2 linked regions of the Rattus norvegicus genome follow. The protein of the gene in region 1 binds, or shares a complex with, the protein of each later gene. Links are inferred from orthologs where the notes say so. Each region holds a gene or a part of one and is shown in the gene's direction. Other genes may lie near its edges. The genes, in order: Csf1r and Csf1.

Region 1 (16,142 bases):
CCAGCTGAAACACCTTTCAGTCCTCCTTCCTGTTTCTATATGAATTTTAGCATCAACTTGTCAGTTTCTACACATTTTTCTGTAGAAAAAAATAGATTTTTTCTGATGCAATTTTTTTCTGATACAATTTTTATAATTGTAATTTGTTGTTGAATCTCTAGCTTTCAGTAGGATAGAATTGATATGCATGACAAAACTGAACTTGCCAGTTCATGGACATGGTATGTATCTCAGGGTTTAGATGTATCTTCTTCAGTGCTTTGTATTCTATGTCCGGATTTTATGTGCAGTCCAGTTTGTATATACTTCACTGGTGCTGTTAGAAACGGTCCTTTTTGGCTGGAGTGGGGGTTTCTGTCCCTTGCAGTGAACTCAGGAAACTTGTTTTATTTCTAAAAAATAAATTAACACATTTACATATAAGTAAAAACAGTATTTTTTCTAAAAATAAATGCTAGGGCTCCTACTTTTTCTGTCTATACAACCTCTTCTGGCCTAGTTCTTCCTAAATAGACCAGGGTATTTTAACATAGTTGCTGTGTATGCATTGATCTTGTTCTTACCTAAGATTCTATTAAGTTTTCTTATTAGTCTGAGTATTTTTTTAAAAAATTTATTATAAAGACCCTCATTTTATCTTTTCAAAGAGATAGTTCATTTCTTCTTTTCAAATACTTGTGCCTTTATGCATTTTTCTTGCCTCACCGCAGTGTCTGTGGTCTCTGGTACAGTGTTTAAATGAGAATAAACATCCTTGCCTTGTTTCTTTTTTAAAAATTTATTTATTATATATGAATATACTGTTGCTGTCTTCAGACACACCAGAAGAGGGCATCAGATCCCATTACAGATGGTTGTGAGCCACCATGTGGTTGCTGGGATTTGAACTCAGGACCTCTGGAAGAGCAGTCAGCGCTCCTAACCACTGAGCAATCTCTCCAGCCCCCTTGCCTTGTTTCTTATTTTAGGAGGAAATTATTCATTCTATCTCCATTTGATTTGATTGTCCTCCCAGATACCCTGTGTGTGTGTGTGTGTGTGTGTGTGTGTGTGTGTGTGTGTATGTGTCTATGTGTGTGTGTGTTTCCCTCTACTCCAAGCAGTCTAGCTGGCCTATAACTCATTATAACCCTCCTGCCTTAGCCTCTCAACTGCTGGGATTACAAGTGTGAGCTACCACATACAGCTTGCAAGAGTTTTGTTTTTGTTTTTGTTTTTTTTTCCGGAGCTGGGGACCGAACCCAGGGCCTTGTGCTTGCTAGGCAGGCGCTCTACCACTGAGCTAAATCCCCAACCCCAAGAGTTTTTAAAGGTTAGGGATGAATATTGCTATTGTCTGCGTTTGAACAAATGGGTGCCATTAGGGTTGTTTATGGGACCATGGGCAACATCTCTAAAATAGATTTCCTACACATAAAAACAAGTAGTTGGATTTTTATTTTTACTCAGAGAGAGTCTTTGCCTTTTGATTGATATATTTGGACTAGTTATATTTGCAGTAATACTTACTACAGTGGATTGAAATCTACCACAGATCTTTGTTTGCTTCCTCTGGTTCTCTTCCTTTTTCTCTCTGTGCCCATCTCCCTTTGTATCGACTGTGTTTTAGATTAGTCTCCCTATTGGCTTACACCAGTGAACATTTTCAGTGGTTATCCTGGGCTTGACAACTACATGACTTTAGTTCAGAAACGCCTACCTAAACAATGCTGTGTTGAAGGAAATAGAGCTCCGAGGCCACTCAGTTTGCTCCTTCCATCCTCTGTGACACTGTGGCCTTTTGTTTCACTTTTGCCTGCACACAGATGCATGGCACCGCGCTGGCTATTTTCGCTCTAACCAGTCATCGGCACCACATTGGTCTTCCGACCAACGCAGGCCGCTTCCTGTGTCTGTTCTTGAAAACAGTTGGCAGCTACTCTCAGTGGTTTATGCTTCGTCTGTGTCCACCATGGTGAAGAAGCTGCTGAAAAGGGTCACGAGTCAGCAGACCTAAAATGCTCCAAAACCGGCTTTAGAGAATTATCTTTTCAGCGGTTAAGTGGTGTTTTTAATGGTAAAGTTGCAGTTTTAGCTTTTATTCCATTCTTAGCAATCTTTGTTTTCATTTACTTTTAAAGGTACACGACCAAGGTTCTGGTTCATATCCCCCGTTTACTTGAGGAACACACACACACACACACACACTTTGTGCTCGTTTGTTTGGCAGTAGCCACAGTCCGTTTTTGTTTGTCTAAGAACGGTTTACTCGCTTTGTTTCTAACTGGTCAGGTTAGGTTTGGCGCTTCCATATAGTTCCAAGGCCTTTTGGTCTCTCACACCAACTCAGTGGCCACTGCCCATAAAGCAATCCCTTCCCACTTCTCCCCCCAGGCCCTGGCAACCGCTAGTTGTCTGTCTGTCTCTACGGACTTGCTTATTCTAAGTGTTTCAGGCAAATGGGGTTGTGTGGAAGTTTGGCTTGGGTGCTGGGCTACGTTTACTTGGCTCTGTATTTTTCAAGGCTTACTTATCACCTTTTAAGGTGTTTGTCGAGAGAGGATGCCGGGGGTGAGGATAGGTGGGGAGAGAGAGAGAGAGAGAGAGAGAGAGAGAGAGAGAGAGAGAGAGAGAACATTCACATGTGTAGAGATCAAAGGGCAACTCCCAGAACTCTGTTCTCTTTCCATCGTGTGGGTCCTGGGGTCCAACTCATGTTGTCAGGTTTTGTGGTAAGTGCCTTTACCAGGTGAGCATCTTGCCAGCCAGGAAATCGTTCACCTTAAACTGTCGGTACTTTGCTCCTTTTGTATCTGAGTGATAGTCCGTGCACGGTTGGACCATGTCCTGTTTATCCACTCCGTAGCTGATTTCACCTTTGGAGATTAGATGCCATGCTGAGTTGAACATCCATGTGCAAGTGTGGGTTTGAGCCCCTATTTTCAGTCCTCTTGATTACACCTAAGGGTACAGTTGCCGCGTGTGTTACTCAGGGATCTCTAGAGGAAAGGAACCAATGCGGTTTATTAAATAAGCTAATGCTAAAATAGTAACAACAACCGACTCACGCTGAGAGCTGAGAGGCCTGGGCGCTCAGTCCTTGGGGCTGGAAATCTCAGCAGTTGGAATAGGCCCGTAGTGACCACCTCTCACCGTGGAGGTGGACAATCTGGTGCCTCAGCAGACCCACTCTGGTGTCCAGAAGGTTCCTGGAGAGCTGCCGGTCCTTAGTTCATAATGAAAGCCTGGACAAGCTGGTTCTGATAACATTGAAGAAATCATCGTTGTCACCATCGTCACCATCATTGTTAGTAGGAGCAGCAGCAGCAGCATAGTCAACTTGACAGTGAGAGAAAGGGCAAGAGAGCCAAAGGCAAGAAACCTTTCTGCCGTGCCTTTTTATCTGAGTCAGTACCAGAAAGCACCACCCACAGTCAGGGCACGTTGATTATGACAATTGGGAAGGTTCCTCAGGTGCAGCTCCCTATTCTGTGTTTTTTTTTTTTTTTTTTTGGGGGGGGGTTGTTTGTTTGTTTTTTTGTTCATTTGGTCAGTTGACATTAAAACCAACCATACTTGTTCATATGGTAATTCTGTTGCTAACTTTTTAAAAACTTTTTTATTTTTTTGAAACAAGGTTTCTCTGTGTAGCTCTGGTTATCCTGGAACTTGCTCTGTAGATCAGGCTAGCCTCAAACTCAGACATCTGCCTGCTTCTACCTTCCGAGTGCTGGGATTAAAGGCATGCACCACCATGACCGGCTTCTGTTGCTAACTTTTTGAGGAACTAACTAATTTCCATAGAAGCCGCACCATATTTAAGTTTCCACTAGCGATGTGTGGGAGTCCCGGTTTGCCTGTATCTGCATCAATATTGGTTTTTTTTTTTCCTTTTTCATTTGAAACAAGGTCTTACTGTGTAACCCTGGCCAGCCTGGAACTCACAAAGACCTGCCTTCCTCTGCCTACCTAGTGCTAGGATTAAAGGCATGAATCACTGTACGCTGTTCCTTTCTGCTTCTTTTTTTTTTTTTTTAAAGATGACCAATGTAGTAAATGTGACACATCATCTCATTGTGGTTTGGTCTATACTTCCTTAGTGACTTACATGACTGAGTATCTTTCCACTTGAGGGCCGGCCATTTGTATATATTTTCTGAAGAAATGTCTGTTTAATTTTTTTTGCCCATTTTAAATTTGAATTGTTTGTCCTTTTGTTACTGCGTTATAGATTACAGCTTTCATTCATATACACATGTGTGCATGTGTGTGTGTGTGTGTGTGTGTGTGTGTGTGTGTGTGTATGCGCGCACACATGCAGGCACTCTGCACACAGCCTTGTCCAGCAGGGATTGGCAAGTATTTCCTTCTGTTTCCTATGTTTCTTTATTCTTTTTTATTCTCTTCACATTGTCCTTTGATGCCCCAAAATGTTCAGTTTTGACCAAGTCCAGCTAATCTAATTTTTCTTTGATTGCCTCTGTTTTTGAGTTTTAGGGCTAAGAAACCATTTCTCACTCCGGTGATGAATATTACCCCTGCACTTTATTCTAGAGTTCTATCCTTTCCCTTCAATTCAGTTTATCTTGGGTTAATTTTTGCATATGGTGTGAAATAAGGGTCTCCATATTTGTTCTTTGGGCTTCAGTTTGCTTCATAGATTTGTTGAAAGAAGCATTGTTTCCACGTCAAATGGTCTTGCCCCTCTTGTGAGGGTTTGTGTTTCGAATTCTGGTTTCGTTCCATTGGTCTGTGTCTACTCTCTTTTTTTCTTTTTCTTTTCTTCTTTTTTTTGGGAGCTGGGGACCGAACCCAGGGCCTTGCGCTTGCTAGGCAAGCGCTCTACCACTGAGCTAAATCCCCAACCCCAACCCTTTTCTTTTTCTTTTTTTTTTTTTTTTTTTTCTGTGTCTACTCTCAAGCCTGCGCCATGCTGTTTGGATTCCAATAGGTTTGTAAGAACCTTTGAAATTGAGACATGTGACTCTTCCAACCTCGTCCTTTTTTTTCAAAATGGTTTAATCATTTAATGCCCCTTCAAAGTCTACATGAATTTCGGTCAGCCTTTCTATTTCAGGAGAAAAAAAAATGACTGCTGGGCTTTGGGTTGGAATTGTACTGATACACAGTCTGCCATCTTGAAATCATGATTGTCTTCTCATGAAACCCTTTCCTCAAGGCCTTCTGAACTTCTGGCGTGTTTCATGAGTCAGCATGTAAGTCCTGCGCTTCCTTGGTTACATTTATTCCCAATTGAAAAAAAGATTAGTTATATTTATTTAGTTTTTTCAAGACAGCATTTCTCCGGGTAGCCTTGGCTGTCCTAAAACCCACTGTGTAGGCCTCTGCCTCCCAAGTGCTGGGATTTCAGATTGTGTGTCACCACCACCCGGGTAGTTACACTTATTTACTTATTTGTTTGTTTATGTGTGTGTTGGTGCCTGCACGTGTGGAAGTTAAAGAACAACTTGCAAGAGTCAGTTCTCTCCATTCAGGTCACTCAGAAGATGAAAACGTTATTCAAACGTAGGTCATTGGGCTTGGCAGCAAGCCCCTTTGTCCAATGAGCCATATTACCAGCCTTACTTGAGATTAAATTTTGATTATATATTCATTATATAATCAAAATTATAAGGTGGGTTGGAGAGATAGATGGCTCCGTGGTAAAGAGAGAAGACTGGCTTTGCAAAAGACCTGAACCCAGTTCCTGGCACCCATGTTGGGTTGCTCAGAGGCACCTGAAACTCCAGCTCCAGGAGACCCAATGCCTCTCAGCCTCTGTGGACAGCTGCAGTCCCTTACATAGGTCTACGCACGCGTATATAACTAAAAATAAGTACTAAAAATTAAAACTGTTTTATTTTCCTTTTTTGATCATTGCTAGAATATAGGCATACAACTTAGTTTTTGAGTGATGAGCTTGTATTCTGTAGCTTTATTTAATTCATTCATTTTATTTAATTTTTTGTAGTTTATTTAGCATATATATATCATGTTTTCTACAAATTGAGATTATTTTACTTTTTCATTTTCATTAAGAATTCTTCTCTCTTTTCCTTCCTTGTTACTCTGGCTAAGATTTCTCACACAATATGAAGAGAGGAAGGAGGAGGAAGGAGAGGAGGAGGAAGAGGAGGAGGAGGGAAGAGGAAGAGAAGGAGGAAGAAGAGGAAGAGAAGGAGGAAGGAGGAGAAGGGAAGAGGAGGAGGAGGAGGGGAGAGGAGGAGGAGGAGCAGGGGGGAAGAGGAGGAGGAGGAAGAGGAGGAGGAGGAGGCGGCGGCGGCAGCCATGATAAAGAGGAAGCGCTTTCTGTCTGGCCACAGAATGAACTGTGCCTTCACATGCGAGCTCTGAATCACTCTGTGTTTCCTTTTCACTCCACCTTAGTTGAACTTTTTAAAACCTTAAATGCATGTTGGATTTTGTCAGGGATTTCTTTTCTGCACCCCTGGGGATACTCTGTCAGCACTGTGTATTCCACTGAGTTTTTCATCTTCTGAATGAAATTGTAAAAAAAAAAAAAGAAAAAAGAAAAAAGAAAAAAGAATCAACTAAAACACAGGACATCGATTGTCTTTAAAAAGTGAGGGATGTGCCAGGGAGGTGGCGTAGTCAGTAAAGTGCTTGCTATGCAAGCATGAGGCTCTGAGTTCAGATCCTTAGCAACCCAGTAAAAGCCATGCCTGGTGACACATAGCTGTGATCTTAGTGTTGGAAAGGCCAAGATAGGAGGATTTCTGAGGCTTTCTGGTCAGCTAGTCTAGCCACTATGTGAAGAGGCAATGAGGCAGACATCAGCATTGATCTCTGGCCTCACTCACATGCATACTCACTCCCATGGACTGGCGCACACATACACACACCTAGGTGCGCACACACGGACACGGGCACACACATATCACACATAAAGAAAGAAGAGGGCAAGGGAATGATCTTTAAGAATAGAAGTCTACCGCAATAGATTTCTTGCTAAAAATAGCCACAGATGGTTCTACATCCTTATCTCCTTGATAGCTGTGTGACTATGAACAAGCTCAAAGGTATTTGACCTCTCTTACCCCGGGCTCTCCATATGCAAATGAGAGTGAAAACAGAACTTACCACTGAGGATATAGAAATCCACAGGCCGTAGTCTCCTGTTTTCTCTCTCAACACAGAAGAATCTCTAAGCAAATATGTGTGGTAGGGGCGGATTATGCCTCACCTCAAACAAACTATCCGTCCTGCAGCACACACCAGCTGAGTGCCTTCTAATTCTGTCGGATGCTCACACCATCTGCTTGGAGAGAGCTCGTACCTAAGTCGGGAACCTGGTCTCCACTTCACCCCACTTCTTGATTAGGGGACCACAGTCCTCCGTCGGTTTCATTGATTCACTAGAGCATCTCACTTTACATGTGAACTTTTTTTAAATGTACCATGTATGTGCACCACACGCATGCCTGTAGGGTCTCCTGGGGCTGTGGTTGGTTGTGAGCCACCATGTGGGTGATGGGATTTGAACCTAAGTCCTCTGCAAGAGCAATACGTACTTGTAACCACTGAGTCATCTCTCCATCCCCCTACTGGTTTTTTATACAGGACATGACAAAGGTATGACACCCCCAGATGAAGATCTGGGGATGAAGGGACACGCCCTCCTCTAGGGACCTCTACTTTAACCAGAAAGTTCTAGTCTTCACTAGTCTTTCAGGTAACCAGACTGCATCCTGAAGTCAGCTGTCAGTCAACTCAGTGGTTCATAAAAGGGACAGCTTAGAAGATTACAAAGGTGTTTGGGGATTGAGTCTCAGCAAACACGCGCTACATAATATCATTACGAGACTCCTAGGTAGCCAGGACAAATCTCTGCAAATCAGGATCTGACCACTTGTCCTAGAAATCAAACAGGAGAAGTGACGGCTAAACGCGGGAAAGGAATCAAAGCATCCGAGGGCCTGTCTCTGGGGAAGGGTTCAGGTTTAAATATAAGAGGACTTGGTGCAGGGAGCAAGAGTCCTGCTCATGGTGGGTGCTGTTGAATTCTACCAGTTGGTTCCAGAGGAGTCTTTCCTGGCTTTCGGGGCTTGAGGGAACAGTTTGGTTCCCATGGCTCCTATTTAGGGGTAACCTCATTTCTTCTCATAAGATGACTGACCGTCCTCACCTAGGGGGATAATCTCATCAGAGGGTGATCTGTCTACAGGACTTGCTATGTTTGGAACCTAGAATGACTTTGGTTTTGGACAATTCATGGAAATTTCCAGTCGCTGCTGTAGGAGATTTGATACTGTCAAAGCCCAAATCCCCAGTTACCCTTATCTTGAGGCCTTCTGCCTTGAAGGCAGATGAGAAAGGTCAGAAGAATTTAGGGCCAATTAACCTGACCTCTCTCAGCTCATCTTGGAGACTCCTATTTATGCTCCTGACTCATGGGCTGCTGCTCTTTGCTATGATTTTCTCCTAAGTTCCCTTATAGGTGGCTTCCTAAGTCTCTCAAACTTGATCGCCTCCCTGCAGGGTCAGTTGAGCCTGGCCTCAGATTCTGCCTCTTCCTCTGGTGTGTGTGTGTGTGTGTGTGTGCACTTTGTTTTCTTCTAGAGACCCAATATTTCCAAACTCTGTAGTTCCCTTTCAGCCAACCTAAAAAAGGGGAAGAGGAGCCACTACAACAGACAAGAACGTGTTCCTCTGTTCCCATCCCTACAGAGTTAGCAGCTGGGAGCCCTGTGCCCAGCCGACTTTCCAACCTGCATCGTCCCACGCTAACCCCTGGAGGCTATGGAGCTGGGGGCTCCTCTGGTCCTGCTGCTGGCCACAGCTTGGCATGGTAAGGGCAGAAAAAGGGATGCTCGGGGACTGTTACAAAGAGGGCATCGCTGTCCCATTCTCCGCTTCCACCTCTCTGGCATAGGAGTGCAGATTTTATCTGGGGAGAAGAGTAGGTGAGTGTGGGTGGACCCAGCCCGGCTGGTGCTGTGGGTTTGTCTCAGCTTGACCTTTGACTCACAGTGTGCTCTGAGTGTGGCCCTGGTATTTTCAGGACCACCATCCACATCTACCTTCTGGCAGGCAGGAGGGCGGTAGTGGGCCCAACTTGAGAGCAATGCTTTTGGTTGTCTCCTGTGCACACGGGAAATTACCTGGGAGTCTCCTTGAAGGTGGATTCTAACAGGTCTTGGTAGGACTGAGATTTACATTTCTGAGAAAATCTTGTGAGTCGGGCTACTCAGTAAACTTTTCAGCTCTTCCTTGAGTGGTCCCACCAGCTGGACAGCCCAGCAGGCTCTGGTTAAGTAGGACCTGGCTCAGAAAGGCCCTTTCTTAGAAGGCTTGGATGAAAGAAAGGGTCAGGGTAGAGGAAAGAAGAGGCCTCTCTAGCCCAGGGCTCCAGGGTGAAAAGTTTGGATAGGAATTGAAGGAGAACATGGGTGAACGAGAAATCCTGTGATTAAGCAAATAAGAATGCTAGAGCAGGGCCGGGGAAAGGCCAGAGAGAGTCTCCCCAGACACTGGCTTCCTAGGTATCTCCCCCAACTTCTCAGGCAGGGGAAGCTGCTTAAAACTGCCATCTTGGAGAGGGTCTGACTGAGGTGAGAACTAACATGAATGGCCCAGAATGGCCCAAGAATCACATCTAGGCTCCATCTGGCCTAACACACACACACACACACACACACACACACACACACACACACACACACTCTATACCAACCCACTGCTTATTTGAAAAGGCCTTGAGGGAAGATGGGACTTGGTGGGGAAGGATAGTCTCACTCTGGTCCCTGGGGGAATTGGTACTTCTAGCCCTCTGGTGAGATGACAGTCCACTGAAGGCTTTTTGCTAGCTCAGCTGAACTCAGTGGCTTGTGCACTGACACATTCCTAGTAGAATGGGATTGGTATGCATTAGAAAGCACGCATTCTTAAGAATACCACTGAAGGACGTGTGACAGATGTGCATGTTAATGCAGCCCTGACTCAGCTAAGGAAGAAACAGTTATTCCTCACGTCCCAGAAAATCCTGTGATTTTGATTCACTGCTTATTCAGTCTTTATCTTGAGGGCTGCTTGTGGGGCATTGAGTTTGAGTGCATACATGCTTGCGTGCGTGTGTGTGCGTGTTTGTGTGTGTGCATGCATCTGTCTGTCCAGTGTCCAGCTCCAAAGGAAGAAAAGGTGGGAGATAACAGTGGGAAGCCTAAGGTTTTAACCTGGCTGATTATTGATGAGTGGGTGGGACCATGGGGGCTTTTGTGGGAGCTGGAATGGTGTTGTATCACTTAGAGTCACACACACACACACACACACACACACACACACACACACACACAGAGGGGAGGTGATGGAGAGGGAGGGAGGGAGGGAGGGAGGGAGGGAGAGAGAGAGAGAGAGAGAGAGAGAGAGAGAGAGAGAGACTGAGAGAGAGACTGGTCTCTTCTCTTTGAGTGGTGGTCAGTCATGAGTGCAGGAGGTTGGGGAGTTCCTGGAGCTGACGGTCCATTTTGCAAGTACAAAGAGGAGAGGGTTTGGGTCATGGGGAGAATTTGAAAGAGAAGATGTGAGATGAGAATGGACAGGAACAGGGGCTCAGTGGCCATCAGGTGCTCATCCAAGAGAAGGTAGTGATGAGTGGGGCTTCCCTCCCGTCAACCATGCCAGTGGGAAGTGAGAACACCGTGTGGCTTACGTGGAATGTTTCAGCCCTGTTCTGTGTAAATATCCAGGGCAACAGGCTGGGGAGAAGTAAGACAGAAGCCTCTCCCAGAGCACATTTCCTGGAGGCCACGACAGGAGACAAAGATAAGCAGAGCAGAGTAGCCTTGGGGAAAGGAACAGTGTCTGGGAGGTAAGGCAGGAGCCGAGTCATAGAACCCAAAGTCCTATGCTGTGACGTAAAGGGTTAAGGTCCCATGTAGCAGGCACAAGAGAGACATTAGCAATGTGGTATGAGGACAGTAGGCCAGGGCAAGAGGACTTTCATGCTCTGCTGCCCTCGAGGTGACCACTGAGATTGTTCTCATGGGTCAGAGGAGCACTGATGTCCAGAGGGTCAATGACTGTCAGAGTCCCTAGCTATAGTCAATGTGAGTCCAGGGTGAAATAGCTTGTGCCTCTTCCTCCTGATCACTGCCAGGAGAGCCACAGCAGTGGCGCTATTCTCCTCTGTTCTACATCCAGCTGGTTGGAAGCTTGGGCATGTGGATCCACGATTCTAGTAGGTTTGAATTAGAGCAGACATTAAACCAGGCTGAAGTCATTTAGGAGAGGAGACTTTCCATTTCTGGGCTGGAGCCTGTGTGTGTGTGTGTGTGTGTGTGTGTGTGTGTGTGTGTGTGTGTGTGTGTGTAGTACCCATTGAGAGTGGTGATAGGAAACACTGGAATACGCTAAGGACTTGACGCCCTTGGGGCTGCCATGTCACTGTGTAGGAGGGGTTGACTTGTGGGGTCAGCAAACAAGACAGTGGCACAGACAGGCTGTGCACAGTGTGTTCTGAGACCCAGTACATTGTCCCCCCTCTCCAAGAGTCCTTCACTGTGTGAGAAGGACAATGGCCAGGAGGCCAGGGAAGCAGAAGTGAGAACCCCAGTGTAGAAGGGCCATGGGTTGGGCGGAAACCAGGGCCAGCCGGGTGCCAGCAATGTGTTTCCGCCCACACAGGCCAGGGGTGCCTGCCAGGCCCTCAGAGGCTGTGAATCAGTTCTCACTTCCCCCCTTTACCCCTATTTCAAGCCTGGGAAAAAATGCTGACACTACACAGGCAACGAGCCTCCTTCCCGAAGACCTGACAAGGGTTTTGAGTTCTCCTTTCTCCTTCAAGCAAATTTTCCTTAAAAGAGATTAGCTGCCAAGAAATCCAACAGGCCCAGAGAAGCGAGGGCAGACTGGGCACCTCAGGAGTCTCATTCATAAGTGTGGCATCCAAGCCCCCTGTGAGACTTTACTGGAACAGGTGATGAGGCAAAAGGTTTCCTGGCACCAGAACAGCTTAGCATGGTGGGGAAATGGGCTCATTGTCTGCACTTGTGGGTGAAAAGACCAAGGGCTCTGATGGACAGATGGCCTCAGGCCACCCCACAGTGCAGGGACCTGATGCTCCAATGAAAGGAATGGGACAGCAGGAGACGCTTGGAAGCTCTTTCTTTCTTCTGAGCTAAGAACTCAGGTGTCTTTTCTTCTTTCCCGAATGAAAAGTCAGGGCTTGGCCATCTGTTTCTCTAGTTGCTTATTTGAAACTTGTCTTGCTTACATGTGATTGCTTGCATGCAGTCACAGCCCGCTTTGTACATGAGAATGATGGAGCCCTCTCCTGGGGTGGGAAATGATACAGAGAGCTGGGCTGCCATAGTTTTGTGGAGATGCCTACATGTGAGGCTAAGGAGGTGCCCAGGCCAGTCTCAGAGATGAGCCCCCTGGGCATGGCAGATGTCAATAGAGTTATGAATACAGATTCATTTCCATACCAGAACTATCCCTTCCAAAGCATGGCCCAGTGTTGGGGAACACCTGGGGTGCATCCCAGGCCTCACTTGTGTCTGCCACCTCCTCCAGGTCAAGGGGCCCCTGTCATCGAGCCTAGTGGCCCAGAGCTGGTTGTAGAGCCAGGTGCAACAGTGACCCTGCGATGTGTGAGCAATGGCAGTGTGGAATGGGATGGCCCCATCTCTCCCTACTGGACCTTGGACTCTGAATCTCCTGGAAGCATCCTGATCACAAAAAACGCCACCTTCAAAAACACTGGGACCTACCGTTGTACTGAGCTTGAAGACCCTATGCGGGGCAGTACCGCCATCCACTTGTACGTCAAAGGTGAGAACTCTAAACTCGCCATATTGGGCAGAAGGGCTAGCCACTGGCATTGGTCATGACTAAGCACCTACAGCAGTGCTAATGCTCGTGAGGTAAATTCTATGATTACCTCCATTCTCCAGAGCCTTGGTGGGCTTGAATCTTTTACCCATGATCACGTAGCAACAAGTGCCTTAGAAGCACCTGATTCCAGAGGCCAACCGTTCTCTGAACGGTCCAGTACAGTGTGACTTGGGGCAAATGCCCAGGCTTTTGATCCTCCCGTCACTAATGTTCAGTTGTCACCTTGACCCCTCCTCTTCCCAGATCCTGTCCGGCCCTGGAATTTGCTAGCACAGGAGGTGACAGTGTTTGAGGGCCAGGAAGCTGTGCTGCCCTGTCTGATCACTGACCCCACACTGAAGGACAGTGTCTCACTGGTGAGGGAGTGGGGCAGACCAGTCTCACGCAAAACGGTCTACTCCTTCTTACCATGGCGAGGGTTCATTATCCACAAGGCTAAATTCCTTGACAGTCATACCTACATGTGCAAGGCTGTTGTGAACGCTAGGGAATCCACCTCCATTGGCATCCGGCTTAAGGTGAATCGAGGTAAGTAGGATGAGAAAAACCCAGCCAGGCATGGGTAGAGGGAGGACAGAAACGGCTCTCTCTCTTTTTTCAACTGCTCGTTTCTCTCCAGGGCAAGTGGGGGGAGGTGTGTTGGGTGGGAATCTGACCACGAGGGCAGCTGTGGTGAGCTAACCAGGGCAATTGGCTAAAGAGCATTTGGGAAATGAATCCTCCCTGTAGGTAGACCTCCATGTGTCTTGGTCCAGGCTGTCTTCACCCATCAGGATACTAGGCTTAATTTTTAGGCTTGCTCTGTGACTTCTGTGTGTCAGGCATGGCGCTAAGCAGCATCTACTTACAGTAGACATTATACTAGAAAGGCAGAATAGAAGGTTGATCAGGCTGTGTAGGAGAAGCAACCAGGAAAGGCCAGGGTGAGGTGTAGTGGGGAGGGTAATTCTTCTACCCACGAGCTCTCTGAAGAACTTTGGGGCTAACGGCCACCAGTTGGAACTGAGCGTAGTGGAGGAGATCTGTATTCCCAGCATTGAACAGCCTGAGCTATATAATGACAGCCAGTAACAAAAAAACGCCAGGGGCTAGCTTGTTATGTTAAGCCACTTGCCACCAAGGCTAGTGACCAAGTGGGATCCCTGGAACTCTCGTAGTAGAGGAGAGAACCTCTATTATAGGGAGTTGTCCTCTGACCTCCACATGGGCACTGTGGCCACATGCAGGCACACATGTGTGTGCACTCACACAAACACACACATATGTAAGTGGAATTTAAAAGATTGTTAAAGAACCAGTGAGATGGTAAAGATCCTTGCTGCCAAGACTGAAGACCTGAGTTTGATCCCTGAGTTTGAGACTTACATGATGACTCTCCAAGGTAGTCTTTGAATCTCCATATAAGAATTATGTTACACACACACACACACACACACACACACACACACACACACACACACGCTGGGGATGTAGCTCAGTAGAAGAACAGTTACCTTGGGTTTAATACACAGCCCTGCATACTAAACACCGTACAACCAACTCCACCACCATAACCACCACCACCACCATCAACACCACTACCACCACCATCACCACCACCACCACCATCAACACCACTACCACCACCATCACCACCACCACCACCACCACCACCACCACCACCACCACCACCACTACCACCAAATTGACAGGACAAGAGTAGATACCATTCCAAGGCATAGAAAGCAAAGGACTATAGGAAAGAAGGCAGATGCTACCCTGTGATGGACCTCTAGCTGCAGTGGAGTATACAGCAAGCATCCCATGGCCCCTTATTTTTGAGACAGGGTCTCACTATTTAGCTCTGACTGGGCTAGAACTCCTACATGTGCCTACTAAGTGCTAAATGTAAAGGTGTGTGCTACCATGTCCAGTCAGGAACTGGCTTTATTCTGAGGGTGAATGTTTACACAGGTGAGGGGCCCAAGAAAGGGACCTGACTTTGGCTGCCAGGAGGGGGATGAAATGAGAGGCAGGAAGCTGAGAACAGTTCTGGGAAGCAGCGTTAGTGGGTAACACAGAAAGCGGACTCTTCCTGGGGACTTGCTTGTTGGGAACACTGAGGTATCAGGGCCACCCTCCAGGGTTTGGATTGGGAGAATGATGGAAGCTTGAGCAGAGAATCTAGGGGTTCATGGGTTGTGTTTCTGGCCTCAGCCCACCCAGGGCCCCCACACATCATATTGGAACCTACTAAGCTGGTGAGGATTCGAGGGGAGGCTGCCCAGATCGTGTGCTCGGCCACTCACTCAGAAGTTGAATTCAACGTTATCCTCAAACGTGGAGACACCAAGGTCAGTCCCTGGGGGTAGGAGATGGCCAGGTGAAATCTGCCCATCCTCTCAGCAAAGGAATCTTCACCTCAAACTACCTTTCTGGGCTGGGGACATGGCTGTGGCCTAGGGAATAGGGGTCTGAGACCCCGTGCCAACAGCAGCTGGCTCCAGCTGCTAGGGGTGGCAATCTAACCCTTTCTGGGATTAGCTTGTTCCTTTGCAGAAGCTTGTGGAAAGCTCCCTGCAGACAGAATGAGGAATTCCTAGGCTCCCTTAGAAGTATGGAGGCATGGTGGTTATTTCGGAAAGACTGAGTGAGAGGGAAGATGAGGAGTCCCTCGGAAGGAATGGAGAGGTTACCTCTTAGATTCCTCACCCCCATGTAAGTCGTGTGTCAGCTCCAGCCCTGAGCCCTTGCTTTGTGAGTCTACCCACTCTCACTTTAACAGAGGGGCAGGGGCCTGAGATTCCTCCCATTTTATAGATGAAGCAATTGAGACTCAGAGTTCAGTCCCTTGCCATGCACAGGCAGAGCATGGTTTTAGAGGTGGAGGATTTGAATTCAGATCCTAAACAATTTTGGGTTGTCGAAAACATCTCATTTCTTTCTGTCTACAGTTGGAAATCCCCATAAACAGTGACTTCCAAGACAACGCTTATAAAAAGGTCCTGACTCTTAACCTCAATGCTGTGGACTTCCAAGATGCTGGCATATATTCCTGTGTGGCCAACAACGCAGCTGGCTCGAACACGGCCACCATGAACTTCCAGGTGGTGGGTGAGCATCAGGCAATGGGGGAGGCCTGTGACTGTCGGGAGATGAAGGTGATGATGGAAAGAGGGCGGCTTAATCCTGGAGCCTCGTCTTAGGAGACTTCCTAGACCCTCAACTTCCTCCAGCAGAGCATGGGTCATGGTTTACTTTAATGTATTCTGTTCTGGGCTGGGATCGGTGCCCAGCTGCTCCCTACTGCAGCTCATGTGGGTCACTCA
Region 2 (15,486 bases), on another chromosome or scaffold:
CACTGCAAGGTCCTTTCCTTCATACCACAGACACGATGGGTTGACACGTTGAGTGACACCAGCCTGGGCCAGAGCTATCTTCTCCACAGTCATTTCCTTTAACAGGTCCTGAGCCTGGGATTCTGGAGATCTGGGCTGCCACTCCTATTCAGGGCTAACTTTCCAACTGCCCAACCATGCCCAATGCAGTATCAACCCATAGCTGGTTGCATCTTCTCTCTCTCTCTCTCTCTCTCTCTCTCTCTCTCTCTCTCTCTCTCTCTCTCTCTCTCGTCAGCAAGGACCTTAACAGGTCCTGTGCTTAATGGCATTGGGCAACCCTGTGTCTCAATGCCCATCTCTGTCTTCCACTCTTTAAGGCCTCACTGTGGTCCCTCTTCCCTCCACACTGCCCAGCCAATGCTGCCTTTCCTCCTTGGCATGCACTGGCAAAGCTTCGGGCTTTAGATGTAAACCAATGTTGTTATGGACTGTTTCAGAGCCTCCCTGTGTTTTTCCAATGCACTCCTATTTGCAGCATTTGTCTCATCATCTGGACTATTGGGGCAGAGCCCAGATCCAAGAAGGTGCCAGTCATCACTCCACCCTGCCAGCATTTCCCTGAATTGGGGGATATCAGCAGCCAGAATGCTCAGAATGGCAGCCTCAGGCCAGGGGAAGAAAGCCCAAGAGCCCCTCTGCCTCAGGCTGGCCATCTCCTGGGATTCCCTATTAGAGCCCATAGGGATGGAAGCATCTTAGGGTAGAGGAGGAAGGAAGGACCTGGTAAGGTGTCAGGAGCCAGACCTGTTACCCTGGGGACGAGCAGCTACTGAGCCAGATGGGTGTTGATGAAAGGGAGAGAACTTCCTTGCTGTGGCAAGAGCCTGCTGACTAGAGGAAGGGCCTGATGCGTCTCAGATAGGCAGATGCCAGCAGGGAGACACAGCATTGTCTTTGATTAGTCAGATGGACTCTTCTTGAACTGCAAGTTTAAGTCTCTAGGAGGTCTGCCACTCGCGTTGAGTTCCCAGTGCTTGGTCCCCTGTAGAACCTAACCTGTGGAACCAGGTGGGAAAGAAGGTAGGCACCAATGGTAATGAATGGTTCTGGCTTGCAATCTGAAAGCCAGCTTACAAGGTCTCGATTTGTCTCAGTGTTAAAGTTGAAAGACAGAAAACCTTACCCTTGAGTCTCTCAGTCACCAACACTTATATTGGTTGGTGCACCATTAGTATTATCATTAGACATCCTCTGTAAGCTGGAAAGATGGCTCATGATCTAAAGACACTTGTTCTTGCAGTGGATCCAGGTTCAAATCCCAGAACAACCATTCATACCTCTAGGTCCAGGGGATTCGAAGAGGCAAGCACATAGAGTGTGTACATGCAAGCAAGCAAAACATTCATAAACACAAAACAAAAATAAATAAGTCGTTTGAATTTTTTTAAGTTCTCTGTATTGTTGGGCTAACCTGGGTTAACCTAAGAAGAGTTAATCTTGGAGAAGATGGCATTTGGGTTATTATCAAGGGGAGAGTGAGCTGGTGCACTGGCTGATAAGAATCTAACTGGGGAGTGCTGCATTCTGGGAAGGGAGAGGAAGTGCTGGAAAGCCATGCCTTTCTCCTGTTACAGACATGGATGGGCTCCCGGCTGCTGCTGGTCTGTCTCCTCGTGAGCAGGAGTGTTGCCGAGGTGTCGGAGCACTGTAGCCACATGATTGGGAATGGACACCTACAGATTTTGCAGCAGTTGGTGAGTATGAGACCTCGCCTTCTCCTCATTAAGGAAACGGAGACAGCAGCCAGATGGCAGAGTCCAAGAGAGGGCTTAGAGAAAATAGTTAACTGGATAATGGCTATCCTGGTGTCTCATTGATCTTCTTGAGGTGAACACCTTAGCTCCTCCCAACCCTTTCATCTAGGTCTACTATAGTGAGTAGGATAGGCTTCTAACTGTTGCCTGAGTTAATGGTAGCCCAGGAATGTCCACTATGGATTCTAAAAGGCTCCTTGACCCTGCTCTGACTCAGACAATGCCTCCTTTGGGAAGTCAGCCTGGTCTGCCTGCTGGGTCCAGATGGTTTGTCCTGCTCCTAGATAGCTGGATCCCCTGACAGCCTGGCACCAGGGCCCCACCCAAATTTATATGGGAGGCTCTAACCTAACTCCCTGCCTTCTGCTTTTACTTCCCTGGCTCTTGCCCCTGAGGTTGGGGTATCCTGCTCATCTGGGCTGGGAAGGAACCCAGATCCCATTCTAATAGGCTTAAAGAATCATCAACAAGTCTAAAGGGTCATCTAGCCAGGCAGGATCCAGTTGTTGTCATGGCTTCTGCTCCTCTCACTAAAGAATGTATTGTCTTTCCACGAGCTTGGCAGGGTGGGGCAGCAGTGGGTAAGGTCATCTGCAGAGCCCTGAACTTGGGCCCTGGGGCTGAACCTCCCAATCTCCCTTCTTAACAGCACTCTCTGCGTGCAGCTTCCCTGGTCCATGGTGCCATCATGGTCTCTGAGGGTTAGAACATTGCTTCAGGGAGAGGCTGGGGCTAGAGACCCAGACTCCCCAGAACTTGGCCGGCCTCTCTTTGAGGCTTTTCACCATAGAGTGCTTACCACCTCCAGAAAAGATTACTTCCTATATTTTCCTAGAGATGCTTCTTCCTTATACAAACGAGACTGCGTGATTTCATAGGTCATAGAAGTGTCTGTCTGTTTTTAAGTCCTCTGAGCTTTTGGAAGATACAGCTTTTCCCCTAGCTGTAGCTCTGTCATTTTGGCATTGTTTTAGGGAGGTAAAGTTAAAATGTCATTCACCCCAAAACCTGGGTCCCCATCCTGAAGCTGAGCTGATCTATAGGTACCATGTAACTGCTGGCCTGTTCTATCTCACAGATCGACAGCCAAATGGAGACTGCATGCCTGATCGAATATAAATTTGTAGACCAGGAACAGCTGGTGAGTAGCAAGTGTTTGTAAGGCCCCGGGTGCTTAACTTTATATTCAGAGCCCATCCTGTGGTGGCATGGAACTGCATGAAAGCAGCAGAAAACCTAGAGCAGACAGGATGGGGATATGGGAATCCCTGGGTGCTTCAAGTGTCAAGTTCCAACTTTCAGGGCTGGGCAGAGTCCAGAGCTTAAGTCCTTTGCTGTTTTCATACTTTGACCTGGAAGAAATCAGGCACTTGCTAAATGCTAGGCACATTCCCCAATTAATCCTAACAGTACCATTCTGAGGTCCACGGATATTGCTTGTTACCCATGCAGAGATTCAGGAGCATACTTAGTGATAGAGGCCTAATTTGAACCCAGGAATGTTATACCATGTGCTTTATTTTTTTAGATCACATCTCCTCCAATCCATTAGCCAGAGAAAGGAAGACAGTCTAGCCTGGCTTTCTACCTCACACCTAACCTTAGGGTGCTGTCCCTTTATACTCCCCAGTCCCGAGGAAATTTTCAGGGGCTTCCTGACTTCCCTGATTCTAGGGCACTCTTCATCTTACCACTAGGGGGAGCCCTCTGAAACCCCAAAGCCTTCACTTATTTCTCCTTACCTGTCAGGAAGCCCATGGCTCTAGGAGAAAGCAGACAATCTAGTTCCAAGTCCACAGTACCCACCACACCCTATGTTCATTCATCTCTCTCCTTTGCTTTGTTCTGCTCCCCAGCTTTTCCATCAGCTCTTTGCGATGTCTTCCCATCACTTCCCATGTGCCCCATCGATCCCTGTGCCACACCTCCTATCTTCCAGCCTCAAGAGAACAATCAGGCTATCCAGAATCCCTTCCGTCTCTGAGCTCTCAGCACTAGACCATCTCTTCTTTGACCATGCCATGGTCTGCATAGTCTCAGGGCTCCATCCATCCATTCTCCTGCTCCTTCACCTATTCACTGGATCAGGCACTAGAGATGCAGAGATAAAAGTAGCTTCTGTCTTTAACCATTTTCGGTATCCTTGGAGACAAAATCCAAGGCTACGCTTTTGATAATAAGATAGTCCTCAGTATCTTTATATTTTGGAGGATTTAAAGGGGCCATATGGAAAAACAAAACAAAAACCAAAAAAACAAAACAAACAAACAAAAAAACTTTTGTGGAAGTAAGTTGAAAGGAGAGAGAGACAGACAGACAGAGAGAGAGAGAGACAGAGAGAGAGAGAGCGCACTAAGGGGCAGCAAGGCTGAATGAAACCCACCCTCCCCTGTGTGTCTCCTGACTAAAGCTGCATTTCAGAAATCCAACGCTCTCTCTAATCAGAATCTACTTTTCTGTCATGCTAGCCCAATTCTCAGTTATGGTTGATTTAAAGAAAGGTAATAAAAGACAGGCCTAGGGTATCATCATCCTCATCGCCAGGGTGGTATGTCCCTTCCTCAAGAGTACAGGAGGCAGGCTACAGCTCTCTATCTGCCTCGGGTGTGGTTGGTCGTCTGTCTCATATAAAGCCTGGCCACCATGGCCAGGGACTAAGCTCCTGGTTCCTGTATTCCAGGACGATCCCGTTTGCTACCTAAAGAAGGCCTTTGTTTTGGTACAAGTCATAATCGAGGAAACCATGCGCTTTAAAGACAACACCCCCAACGCCAACGCCACCGAGAGGCTACAGGAACTCTCTATGAAACTGAACAGCTGCTTTATCAAGGACTATAAGGAACAGAACGAGGTAGGGTGACTGGGGCAGGAGCACCAGGGAAGGGGCAGAGGGAGGCTGCAGAGGTCCCACCCTGCCTCATATGCTTGCCTTGCCTGAACCTCACTAACCTACTCCCTCGCCCATTCACTTCTTTACTCCATCCACCTTCATCAAGCATTCATTAGACAGAAGGCACAGTGTGGACCCTGAGGATATCCTTGGAACAAGAAATTCCCCTTCCCACCCTTACAGTGAGGTAGGCAGCTGTTAAATGATGACACCTGTAAATATAATCAAAAGGGTTCTTCCTCCATTCAGCAAAACCTTATTGAGTGGCCACTGTATATCAAGTGCTGTTCTGGACACCAGGAATGAGCTGTGATTTAAAAAAAAAAAAGTAAAAATCCCCACACTCATAAGAGAGCCAGCGAAAATGAGCAAGTGTGTGGACGGCTGATGGTGATAATAGCATTGGAGAAGAGTAGAGCAGGCGAGGGGAGCCCTGAGTAGTAGTGGGAGGAACAGGAACCTGAGACTGAGAGTGCAGTGAGGACCCTAACAGAATGAGGATGCAGATGGGAAGAGAAGGCAGCAAGAAGACTTTAACTGGTGCTCCAGCACGAGGAAGAGCAGTAGGAGCCACACACAGAGAAACATTCTGGAGTGAGGAGCACTACACTCAAGCCCTAGGGTAACCAGAGAGGTTCGCATTCAGAAGCCCAAAGGGCATGGGTCAGGCATGGGATGTTGACAGGAGGGAGCAAAGTCAGGAAGCACACCACTAATTCATGGTGTTGAAGAGGTGAGCTTTTTGTCTTAAATTTGAAAGAAGCCACCATAAACTAGAGTGACACGATGATATGATGGAAGGCCATCTGGTGGTGGACTGGTCAGTGGGAGGTTCAGCCAAGCTGAAGATGGTGGTGACTTGAATCAGAGCAGAGCAGGGAAAATGAAGGTGAGTGAGCGGGATCCCTCCAGACAGATAGGGTGTGATGCTTCCTGGGAAAAAGGGAAAGGGTGAGGCAGATGTTTTCATCTGGAGTCCCTGGAGCTCTCACTGATGTCAAAAGAAGGATGACCACAGGCAGAGTAGGTTTGAAGGAAGAGCTCAGTTTGGTGTGAGGCAAATCAGACAGCTGTAGTTGCTGCTTGTGACTGTGAATGATGGACACACAGACACTGTGTGTGGAACCACAGAACTGCACAGCCCAGTCCACCCTTCTCACCCTGGTAAGAGGAGAACGGGATCCAGGATCCTGAATGAAACACAAGCCTGAGGTAGGAGGAAAGCCTAGAGAGGGCAGCACCTCAGGGCTTCCAGATAGGAGGAGCCAGAAGCTTTATCAAAGGAGGCTGAGAAGTCAAGTAAGATAAGGGGTGACAGTGTCTGTTGGTCCATCTGATTTGGAAGCATGGAGATTGCTGTTGGAGGCAGATGGGGAGAAGAGAGAGGAAACAGAGACCACAAAGTAGAAACACTCTGCTCCCAAAGGGGACAGGAAACCAGATTTTCTGGAGTGGCTATATGGTTGAGGAAAGGATGGTTCTATACTGTGCAGCTATTCACCTAAAGAGCTTATTTGAAAATGCAGAGGCCCAGCATATACCGTTACAGACTCGACTTTCCTGGGCCCATCAGTGAGCCTGGGAATCTGCGTTTTGAGATGATGCCGCATCAATGGTTGAGATAGAAGCTCCTCAGTCTTCCCTGGGTCAATGACTATTCACTCAGTGCATGCTGAGTGGTGACTTGGGGGCAAGAAAGAGTGTAAGCCCAAGGAGCCAAGGCCAGCCACACTGCTCCGAAAAGGATTATGAGCTCCTAAACCAGCAGGCGCCTCCATGCTGAGAAAGCTTGGGTGTCAGGGTTCTAGGTGAGGATGCCAGGTTTCTTTTACAGCATATAAGGCCAGGGACATATGTAGGACAGAGGCAGCTGGCCTGCCTTAAGAGTTCCTGGGAGAGGCTGGTGTGCTGTTGTTCTAACATCACAAACAAGGGGATGAATCCGCATAAAGCCAGTCATCTGTCTGTTCTCACCTAGCTGCTGAGTGATGAAGCCAAGCCCAGGTCATTTCATTCATTCATTTGTCTAGTAACTGTTATAAGCATGCTATGGGAGGGCCAGAGAGATGCAGTGATGTAATCAAGGGAGCTGTAGTAGCCTTGGAAAACCTATTGGCCTTCCCAGAATAGCTCAACTTTAAGGGAGAGAGTTGGCATTCTGGAAATAGGCTGTAGGTGAGACTGTAACCACACACAGAACAGCTTGCTGTGAGAGGTGAGGTGGACCCAGAGCAGAACCCCGAGGCACTGCAGTATGTAGAAGGAACTCTGGCACAGAGCCTGAAGGAGCAGCTGGTGAGGAGGGAAGCACCCAGGAGGGCATGACTTCTCAGAGCTGCAGAGGGTGTGTGAGCACTTGGGCCAGTGCAGAAGAGAAATGCCATTCAGCAGGCAGGGCAGGGCATCCTCGGCACTTCCTCTAAAATGGGGCACCAGCAAGGACCTCATCTCTTCTGGTCTACCCAGGTCTGCTCTCTACACCACACCAAGATGATTTTCCTGAAAGATAAGTCTTATACCACGGACCACCTCCCCAGCAGGTTTTCAGTTTCCTGTTGGCTCTGTGGCTTACAAGTTCCTGGCAGAGCCAACGAGTTCTTGGTCTTGGCAGGGCTCTTTCCAGCTGTGTCTCTTGCCACTTTCTTCCTACATTGCAGAGCTGCAGCCTCTCCAGCCTTCTTTCAGTCTTTTGGCGTCTCATGCTTTCCTGTCCCAGGGTCCTTGCATCTTCTATCACCTCTACCCCCACTTCCTTCTCTTACCCTACTCAGCTTTTAGCTGATCCTTTTGGAGATCTTCTCCCTGGGCCCTCTTTTAGCACCTATTGGTTATACGCCTTCACATGGCTCAGGACACTCTCTTGGGAGCCACTGTGACTTGTAACAATGGGTTTAGTGCTAGTGTCTGCTGGACTTAGTGCCCAGCTTGGCTAGGAACCACGTCTCTTTTGTTCACTGCATAATGCCCAGGTAAATATATGGCAATATACCTGGCACTTACATATGTGTTAGATGGATGTCTGGAGAAATGACATCTCTCAACCTCAAGACTGATACTGCTGCAAAGCAGAGGAGATGTAAGGGAGGAAACAAAGGGGGAAAAGAGAAAACCTAAGAGAATTGGATAGAGATAACAGAGGAGGCCCATGTTCATGCTTACCAGAGGGGGCTTCACTCTTCTCCCAGGCCTGTGTCCAAACTTACAAAGAGAGTCCTCTCCGGTTGCTGGAGAAAATCAAGAATTTCTTTAACGAAACAAAGAATTTCCTTGAAAAGGACTGGAATATTTTTAGCAAGAACTGCAATGACAGCTTTGCTAAATGCTCTAGCAGAGGTAAGCACAGAAGGGGCCAGCTACAGGGAGGGTGTGTGCAAGGTGGGATATGGGATTGGGGGAATCCCAGAAGCAGCCTGGGTGCTAACTGTGTTTCTGTGTGTTTTGTGTACTCGTGTGGCTTCATGTACCTTAAGGTCCTGTGCACATGTCTTTGCTGACATGTGTGTGCATGCACACTGACTTATGCCTGCATGTACTGTTTCACTGCCAAACTTCATGTGGCAGCACCAAGAAGGCCCCTGCTGGTGGCCGTGATGGTAGTGAATGGGTAATGGGACCTTCCTCGGAAAGCCATAGGCATGGTGGCCTCCCCCCGGGCTCTGCAGGCTGGCTGAATAAATGGGGGTTCCGTGGAAAGAGCAGGAGCTCCACCTGGCAATCAGGGTCCTTGCTCCAGGAGCTTGGCTGCAAAACACTAGGATAACCTGGCTCCGGAAGTCCCCAGGATGCCTTGGATGTCCCCTCAAGGGACAAGGCTGGATTTGAAGTCTGAACATCATTCAAACTCTCTCTACCTGTGCACTCTGCGTGTACTCATCTCTGCATCCTGTGCCACGTGTGTCCTACGTTCAGCCTTACTCCCTAAGGCAGGGGCTGAGGTCCTGCAACCGGACAATAGCCAAGTCCAGCCTTAGTGCTTCAATTCTGAAATTCCAAACTTGGCTGCTTCCCAGCTCCCGGCCTTGTCCTGTCTGTGACAGCAGCTATGGTGGTTCCTCTCCTGGCTGTGCATGAAACCCGTGTCTTGGATGCCTTCAGTGTCTTGTATTAATCCAGGAGCTATTGCTCAGGCCCCTGGCCTGGGTGCTGCTAACCCCTGGCTTGGCCTCCGGCCAGCTAGAACCCTAGTACACTGTCCTGTGATCTTCCTCACCCCAAGTCCTGCTCTGTTTGTCTGTACCTTGCTTTTGGTCCCTAGTCCATGATACCCTGCATATTGATCCCTCATGCCTGAGTTCTGTGTCATGATCGTTTATTACTGTCCTGCCCTCTCCCCAGCCCCAGGGCTGTTAGAAGAGGGACCCCTTCCTATGCCCCAGAGCCTTATCCCCCTCTTAGCCCCTCTGGGGGAGCTGTGCTAGAGGCTGGTGACTCTATCTCCTCCCCATCTTTCTCTCTCCCCCTCTCTGTGGTTCTTTCAGATGTGGTGACCAAGCCTGATTGCAACTGCCTGTACCCTAAAGCCACCCCTAGCAGCGACCTGGCCTCTGCCTCCCCTCACCAGCCCCCTGCCCCCTCCATGGCCCCTCTGGCTGACTTGGCTTGGGATGATTCTCAGAGGACAGAGGGAAGCTCCCTCTTGCCCAGTGATCTGCCTCTTCGCATAGAGGACCCAGGCAGTGCTAAGCAGCGACCGCCCAGGAGTACCTGCCAGACCCTCGAGTCAACAGAGCAACCAAATCACGAGGACCCACAACCTCATCCTTCTGCGGGGGCCCCCATCCCTGGGGTGGAAGACATTATTGAATCTTCAATGGGCACTAACTGGGTCTTAGAAGAAGCTTCTGGAGAGGCTAGTGAGGGATTTTTGACCCAGGAAAGGAAGTTTTCCCCCTCCAATCCTGTAGGGGGCAGCATCCAGGCAGAGACTGACAGACCCTGGGCCCGCTCAGCATCTTCTCCATTCCCTAAATTAACAGAGGATCAACAGCCAACGAATATAACAGACACCCCGTTGACAGAGGTGAACCCTATGAGACCCACTGGCCAGACACTGAATAATACTCCTGAGAAGACGGATGGTTCATCTACACTGCGCGAAGACCAGCAGGAGCCACGCTCTCCCCATTTTGCCACACTGAATCCCCAACGAGTCGGCAACTCAGCCACCCCCTATGCTAAGTTACTGCCTCCCAAAAGCCACTCTTGGGGCATTGTACTGCCCCTTGGGGAGCTCGAGGGCAAGAAAAGTACTAGAGATCGAAGGAGCCCCGCAGAGCTGAAAGGAGGACCAGCAAGTGAGGGGGCAGCCAGGCCTGTGGCCCAAAGTACTAGAGATCGAAGGAGCCCCGCAGAGCTGAAAGGAGGACCAGCAAGTGAGGGGGCAGCCAGGCCTGTGGCCCGTTTTAATTCCATTCCTTTGACCGACACAGGCTCTTCTATTCAGGATCCCCAGACCTCTGCGTTTGTCTTCTGGGTGCTAGGCATCATCCTAGTCTTGCTGGCTGTCGGGGGCCTCCTGTTCTACAGTTGGAAGCGGAGGGTAAGGAGAACTCCGGGAGAAGAGGACATCCTATGGGGCAAGACAAAGGCTGGGTAGGTTACAGGCTGGAGGGTAGCCAGGTTCCAATAGGTTCTGCAGTTGCTGGAAGGTGGGGATGACAGCCCAAAGGGTAGAAGGTAGTGATGGAGTGTGGCTTCAAGAATTAGGAGCTACCAGGCGTGGTAGTGTGCATGTAGCCCTAGCAATCCAGAGGCACAGGCAGGCCTCTTTGGCCAGCCTGATCTACTGGTTGACAAAGCAGGTTTTAGGCTAGCCAAAGCTATATAAAGAGATCCTGTCGGAGAAATTAATTAATTAATTAATTAGGTCCCCAGCCTCCTGGAAATCATTAAGAAAGGATGAGTTCTAGACTAGCCAGAGCTACATAGAGAGATTCTGTCTGATTAATTAATTAATTAATTAATTAAAGAGCTCTCCAGCCTCCTTGAGATCATTAAGAAGGAACGAGAACAGAATCATGTTAAAAAGAGAATTCTTGGCTGGGAACTCAGAAGGCAGAGGCAGGCAGATCTCTGTGAGTTTGAGGTCAGCCTGAGCTACAGAGTGAGTTCCAGGGCAACCAGGGTTGTTACACAGAAATGAGAGCGAGAGAAAGCGAGAGAGAGAGAGAGAGAGAGAGAGAGAGAGAGAGAGAGAGAGAGAGAGAGAGAGAGAGGATGAGGGAATGAGAGAATGAAAGAATGAAAGAATGAAAGAATGAGAAAATGAGAGAATTTTAATACCAAGTGGGAGAGGAGAGGAAGGGAGAGGAATGCTATTCTGGGAGCTTGAGGGCCCATAGGTGGTGATCTACACAGGAGGGGACAGAAGAAGGAGTGCCCATCCTCAGAGGTCCAGGAATCTTCCTCAGCTGTGCATGCTTTGGAGCAGTGGGAGGAATTCTTGCAACTCAGTAACACTTAGGGGCATGCCAGCACCTCAGTAAGATAAATCTTTCTTGTTCTCAGAGCCATCGAGACCCTCGGACATTGGATTCTTCTGTGGGGCGACCAGAGGGCAGGTGAGCAGTTGGAGTGGGGCTGTAGGAGTCACTGCTGTCTGTCTTGGGACCTGTTTCCCCTCTAGATTGAAAGAGAGGCTTCTCCCCCTTGCCCTAAGTAAACAGAGCTGCAGAACAGAGTGGGTACAAAGAAAGAAGAGCCTCTCTTCTTCCCATGACAGTGGAGCTTTCTCCTGATTTCTTCCTAGAATTGAGCAGTTTGGGGTTTTCTAAATCTCATCCATATGGAACCCATATGCAAGTTGGGGATAAGCTAGTAGGTCCCCTCAGTTCCATGCTCCTGCTGAAGTCTTATGTCAACCCTGTGTTCCGCCTGCAGCTCCCTGGCCCAGGATGAGGACAGACAGGTGGAACTGCCAGTGTAGAAAGGATTCTAAGGTAAGGCTCTGACTTTGATATCTCTCTATCCCTTAAAAAAAACTAGGTACCCACCCCTGTTGTAGAAACCACCTGACTCCCAGGCGGTCCACACACTCTTGACTTCCTCTCCTCCACCCTACTCCCAAGTCCACTCATTCATCATCAAGTCTAGCTAGGCCCCTCTCTTCCAGGCCTCAGGTCTCCCCTTGTTCCTGAATCCCCTCCCCAGCTGAGACCAGTTACTGTGACCTCTTCATTATGTTTCTATTCTTGCTGTTGCTACATCTGATCCCAAAGCAACCACATTCCTCCTCCTCTAATGAGGCTTTTACAAGGTCTTTACCACCATGCAGAATTTTCACTAGCCTCTGCATGGCTGCCAGCCCCCTTCAATTACAAGCAATCCCAGCTTGGTACTGAGCCCTGACCTCCTCAGCATCCTCTTCTTACCAAACTGTGCCTTATCTGTTCCTGCTCCCAAGCCAAGGTTACTGCTGCCTCCCTGATTTAGGATCATGATGCCATAGAAATTTAGTCTTGGGAGAGCTGTCAAGAGGTCATTTGGCCCAGTGTCCCAGCTAAAAGGGCTACTCTGCACCCCCACAGGGAGTCAGCCAGCTTCCTGAACACACACACACACACACACACACACACACACACACACACACACACACACACACACACAGAGAGTTTCAGGCAAGTGCTCTGCATGCCAGTCTGCTCAACTACACACAACACTGGGGTCACAGCACACAACACTGGGGGAATTCCTTCCTTATGTGGGCAAAGCTGCCTTCCTTTCTCCCCTTTCCCGACCAGTCCTCTCTCATCTTCTCCTGAGGCCTGATATTTAAAGTCAGTTATTCATGTCCCCTTTAAAAATTCTCTGTGTTAAGTGTGACCAAGCCCCTCAAACATTCCTTATATGATATGGTTTTCAGACCCCTCACCATCCTGGACACACTCGTTTGTCAATGTCCCTCTGAAAATGTGGCGCCCAGCCCTGGACACAGTACTCCAGATGTTGTCTGACCAGCTCAGAGTACAGTGGGACGGTTGTCTTCCTTGATCTGGACAGTGCTCTTCTACTCATGCAGATTTAAGATCACATTAGTTTTAACAGCTGCATCATATATTGTCATATGTTGAGCTTGTAGTCTATTAAAAACCCCAGTTCTATTTCCCACGAGCCTCTGTCCAGCAGACCTTCGCCATCCCATACTCCCACACTTGGACACCTAACTGTTTTAGCCAAAGTGTAGTTGGAGCTCACCTTTGTTAAAACTCCTTGTTGTTTTTCTGTCCATGCCCTGAGCCTACGGAAAGTGTATTAGCTCCTACTTTGGTCACTTTATAACTCCTCGTTGGGTCCCCTGCACACTGATGCATGTCTTTTGTTGTCCTTGTCCACAGTGTTGATGGAGATGTGACCTGTATTCTTCCTCTCTATCTCCACCCACACCAGCCTGTCAGGAAGCTTTTCCTTCCTGAAGTATATCCCACATCCCTCTGGTTGTCCTTTTAATTCATACCCTTCTGCTCCTTTGTATATGGCTCATGCTATATCAATCCATACACATTTGGATGTTGTTTTATGTATTTTAAATCATATTTTATATGTATATGTAAATTTTGCCCTTCTAAGAAGATTGTAAGTCCCTAGAGGGCAGGAACTATCTTCCATTTTTTTCTGCACTTCATTTTCGATCCAGGATTTTAGTACAGACAGTGCCACCTCCATCCTCGTCAAAAATTTAGTAAATGTTGGTAGCTGGTTTCAGGTCTGAATCACCAATTAACCCTGGCCAGAATTCTCTAACTGATCAGCCTTCTGGGTGATTAACCAGCCAACTGATGAACTCATCTTGCCAGCTAGTTAGCTGACTGACTATTCAACTAACTAGCTGGTAACTACTTAACTGACTAATTTTTGATTGATGAGCTGATTGGCTAACCAGCTAGCAGAGTGCTTAGTTGATTTGCTAACTGACTGGATGGCAAAGTAGCTGTGTGATCTGTTGAAGTTTCCAGTTATACCCCTTGCCACATGTAAGCAAACTGTCCCGTGTGTAGGATGATGTGTCTCAGCTCTTCCCCAGACAGAGGAAATCTCACAGATGTTCAGAACCAGGGAGATTTATTTGGATTAAAGCAAGCAGCAACCCATATCTAGACTCTTGCAGACCCACTTGGCTGTAGTGTGGGTGGAGATGGGTGAGATGAATGAGCTGGCTCACTGGAGCAACTGCAAAGGATCCAGAGCCTCTCCAAACTGAATCAGGGAGTAAAGGTTGCCGCGGACTTTGGGGCTCAGTGCTGTGTTTCTGCCACCTGTATGACCTGGTTTCTCTGTACCCAGTTGTCCTTTACACACATCCTAACTCTCAGACCTGCCCAAGACTTCAAGTTTCTCACCTAAGGATTTCAAGATTTTACTCAGTTGGTTCAGATCTAAATTGGTCCCCATTCCAGGTTCAAGGAGTCTATGGGAACTGACTGACCAGTACTCTGACAAGAAGATGAGTGGGACACACAGAAGTGGGGACTAAGGGAAGGACACTAGGTTGCAGAAAACTCGGGTCCATGGTCCCAGGAAGCAGGAGTTGGGTCAGAGGCCAGAGCATGCCCTCTGCGGCCTTCTTCCCCAGTGGACCCTGCCAAAGCCTGTGGCCTGGCTATACCACAAGGCTCATGTCCAGTTTATAGTTCCTGCTTGTTTCCTATCCAAAGCCTGGGAATAGGCTGGGGGCCAAAGGCTGTAGGTCTCATCTTCCTTCCTTACCCATCACAGGCTTGACCAGTAGGGCTATGGACATTACTAGGGAGGCGCCACCCAGGGTCCAAAGTCAAACTGTTGGCTAGAGTCCAGGGGATTTCTGCTATGGAACAAAGAGTTCTGAGGATGCTGGGCAAGGGGACAAAGATGGGGGTGGGGTGGAGAGAGGGCAGGGCCCTGGCTTCCATGGATGACAAGAGGCAAGTCCTTCATCCCATCTGGGAGGAGGCTAGGCTACTCAGGGTGAGCATGCCTGTTGATAGGGCAAGCCCTCCCTTTTCCTGGCACTGTCTCTACCCTCTGCCCATCAAGCCCAATTTCTTTCTACTTGATTGCTTTTGAGCAAGTGTCTTCTGTGCAGACCCTCTCTAAGGCATGGTATGGAGGCATGAAAAATTCTTTGCTAGAGTTGGCAGAGATCCCCTTAGATCATTGGTCTAAGACTACTAAGATGGCCTTACCTGAGGAGTGGCCTAGTAGGGACATTCAAGAGCTTGTTCCCTGCTTCCATCTGCTTGAGCAATAAGCCTAGACCTCCTCCAGTCCTAGGCCCTCATTTTGTGGTCACTACTCTCCCAGGAGGAGAGGTAGGAGGTGAGGCCAGTCTGTCCAAAGGCTTGGACTGCTGCCAGGCAAAGCTGCCTGGTGTCTCTGTGGTGTCTGGGGTCACCTAGAGGGCCAAGGAAATGACCAGAGGAAGTCTTGCCTGAAGCCAGCCAACAACCCACAGGAATGCCACACCTCCCCCAACTATGTCCTCAGCGACCCTCCCCATACTCCCTCTGCTGACCAGCCTTCTTCCCTTCTTTTCCCTACAGCTGGGCACACAGGACTATCTCTTTATGGGAGGAGACATTATGGCAACGTCCACCACTACCCTCTCCTGTCATCTTCCTGGGAATGTGGTCTGCCACTACCAGAGCTCCTGCCTACCAAGACTGGATGAAAGCAGCTTTGATGGGGATCTTTCCATCCTAACCCTTAGACTCTCAACTAAAGAGAGAGGGCTGGAGGATGCCCCCAGTATCCTGCCACTATTTATTGTGGGCCCTGGAGGCTCGCTGCATTTGAGGAAGGGCAGCTCAACAGCTCAGGACCCTTTCC

The links.
Region 2: the proteins of Csf1r (region 1) and Csf1 are in contact, whole or in part, in a crystal structure (PDB 3EJJ), measured with the Mus musculus proteins. The link is inferred for Rattus norvegicus from reciprocal best matches to the Homo sapiens genes CSF1R and CSF1. Residues at the interface, in NP_001032948.2 of Mus musculus: Arg142, Arg146, Leu149, Arg150, Lys151, Lys168, Val169, Leu170, Ser172, Asn173, Val231, Gly232, Phe233, Leu248, Ser250, Asp251, Phe252, Asp254, Asn255, Tyr257, Lys259; in NP_001107002.1 of Mus musculus: His38, His41, Met42, Gly44, Asn45, Gly46, His47, Phe87, Gln90, Asp91, Asp94, Arg98, Asp101, Glu110, Arg111, Gln113, Glu114, Leu115, Asn117.

Annotation. Positions count from the first base shown.
Region 1 is NC_086036.1:56,825,640-56,841,781, forward strand, and holds the start of Csf1r (macrophage colony-stimulating factor 1 receptor precursor), read left to right. Parts: upstream 1-8,739; coding exon 8,740-8,788; intron 8,789-8,872; coding exon 8,873-8,903; intron 8,904-9,001; coding exon 9,002-9,041; intron 9,042-10,959; coding exon 10,960-11,020; intron 11,021-12,513; coding exon 12,514-12,771; intron 12,772-13,077; coding exon 13,078-13,362; intron 13,363-15,030; coding exon 15,031-15,167; intron 15,168-15,767; coding exon 15,768-15,927; intron 15,928-16,142. UniProt on the Homo sapiens protein: Tyrosine-protein kinase that acts as a cell-surface receptor for CSF1 and IL34 and plays an essential role in the regulation of survival, proliferation and differentiation of hematopoietic precursor cells, especially mononuclear phagocytes, such as macrophages and monocytes.
Region 2 is NC_086020.1:198,067,198-198,082,683, reverse strand, and holds part of Csf1 (macrophage colony-stimulating factor 1), read left to right. Parts: intron 1-1,616; coding exon 1,617-1,736; intron 1,737-2,874; coding exon 2,875-2,937; intron 2,938-4,476; coding exon 4,477-4,647; intron 4,648-4,792; coding exon 4,793-4,873; intron 4,874-7,871; coding exon 7,872-8,019; intron 8,020-9,164; coding exon 9,165-10,278; intron 10,279-11,193; coding exon 11,194-11,246; intron 11,247-11,565; coding exon 11,566-11,624; intron 11,625-12,547; coding exon of another isoform or gene 12,548-12,592; exon of another isoform or gene 12,593-12,790; intron 12,791-15,200; coding exon 15,201-15,486. UniProt on the Homo sapiens protein: Cytokine that plays an essential role in the regulation of survival, proliferation and differentiation of hematopoietic precursor cells, especially mononuclear phagocytes, such as macrophages and monocytes.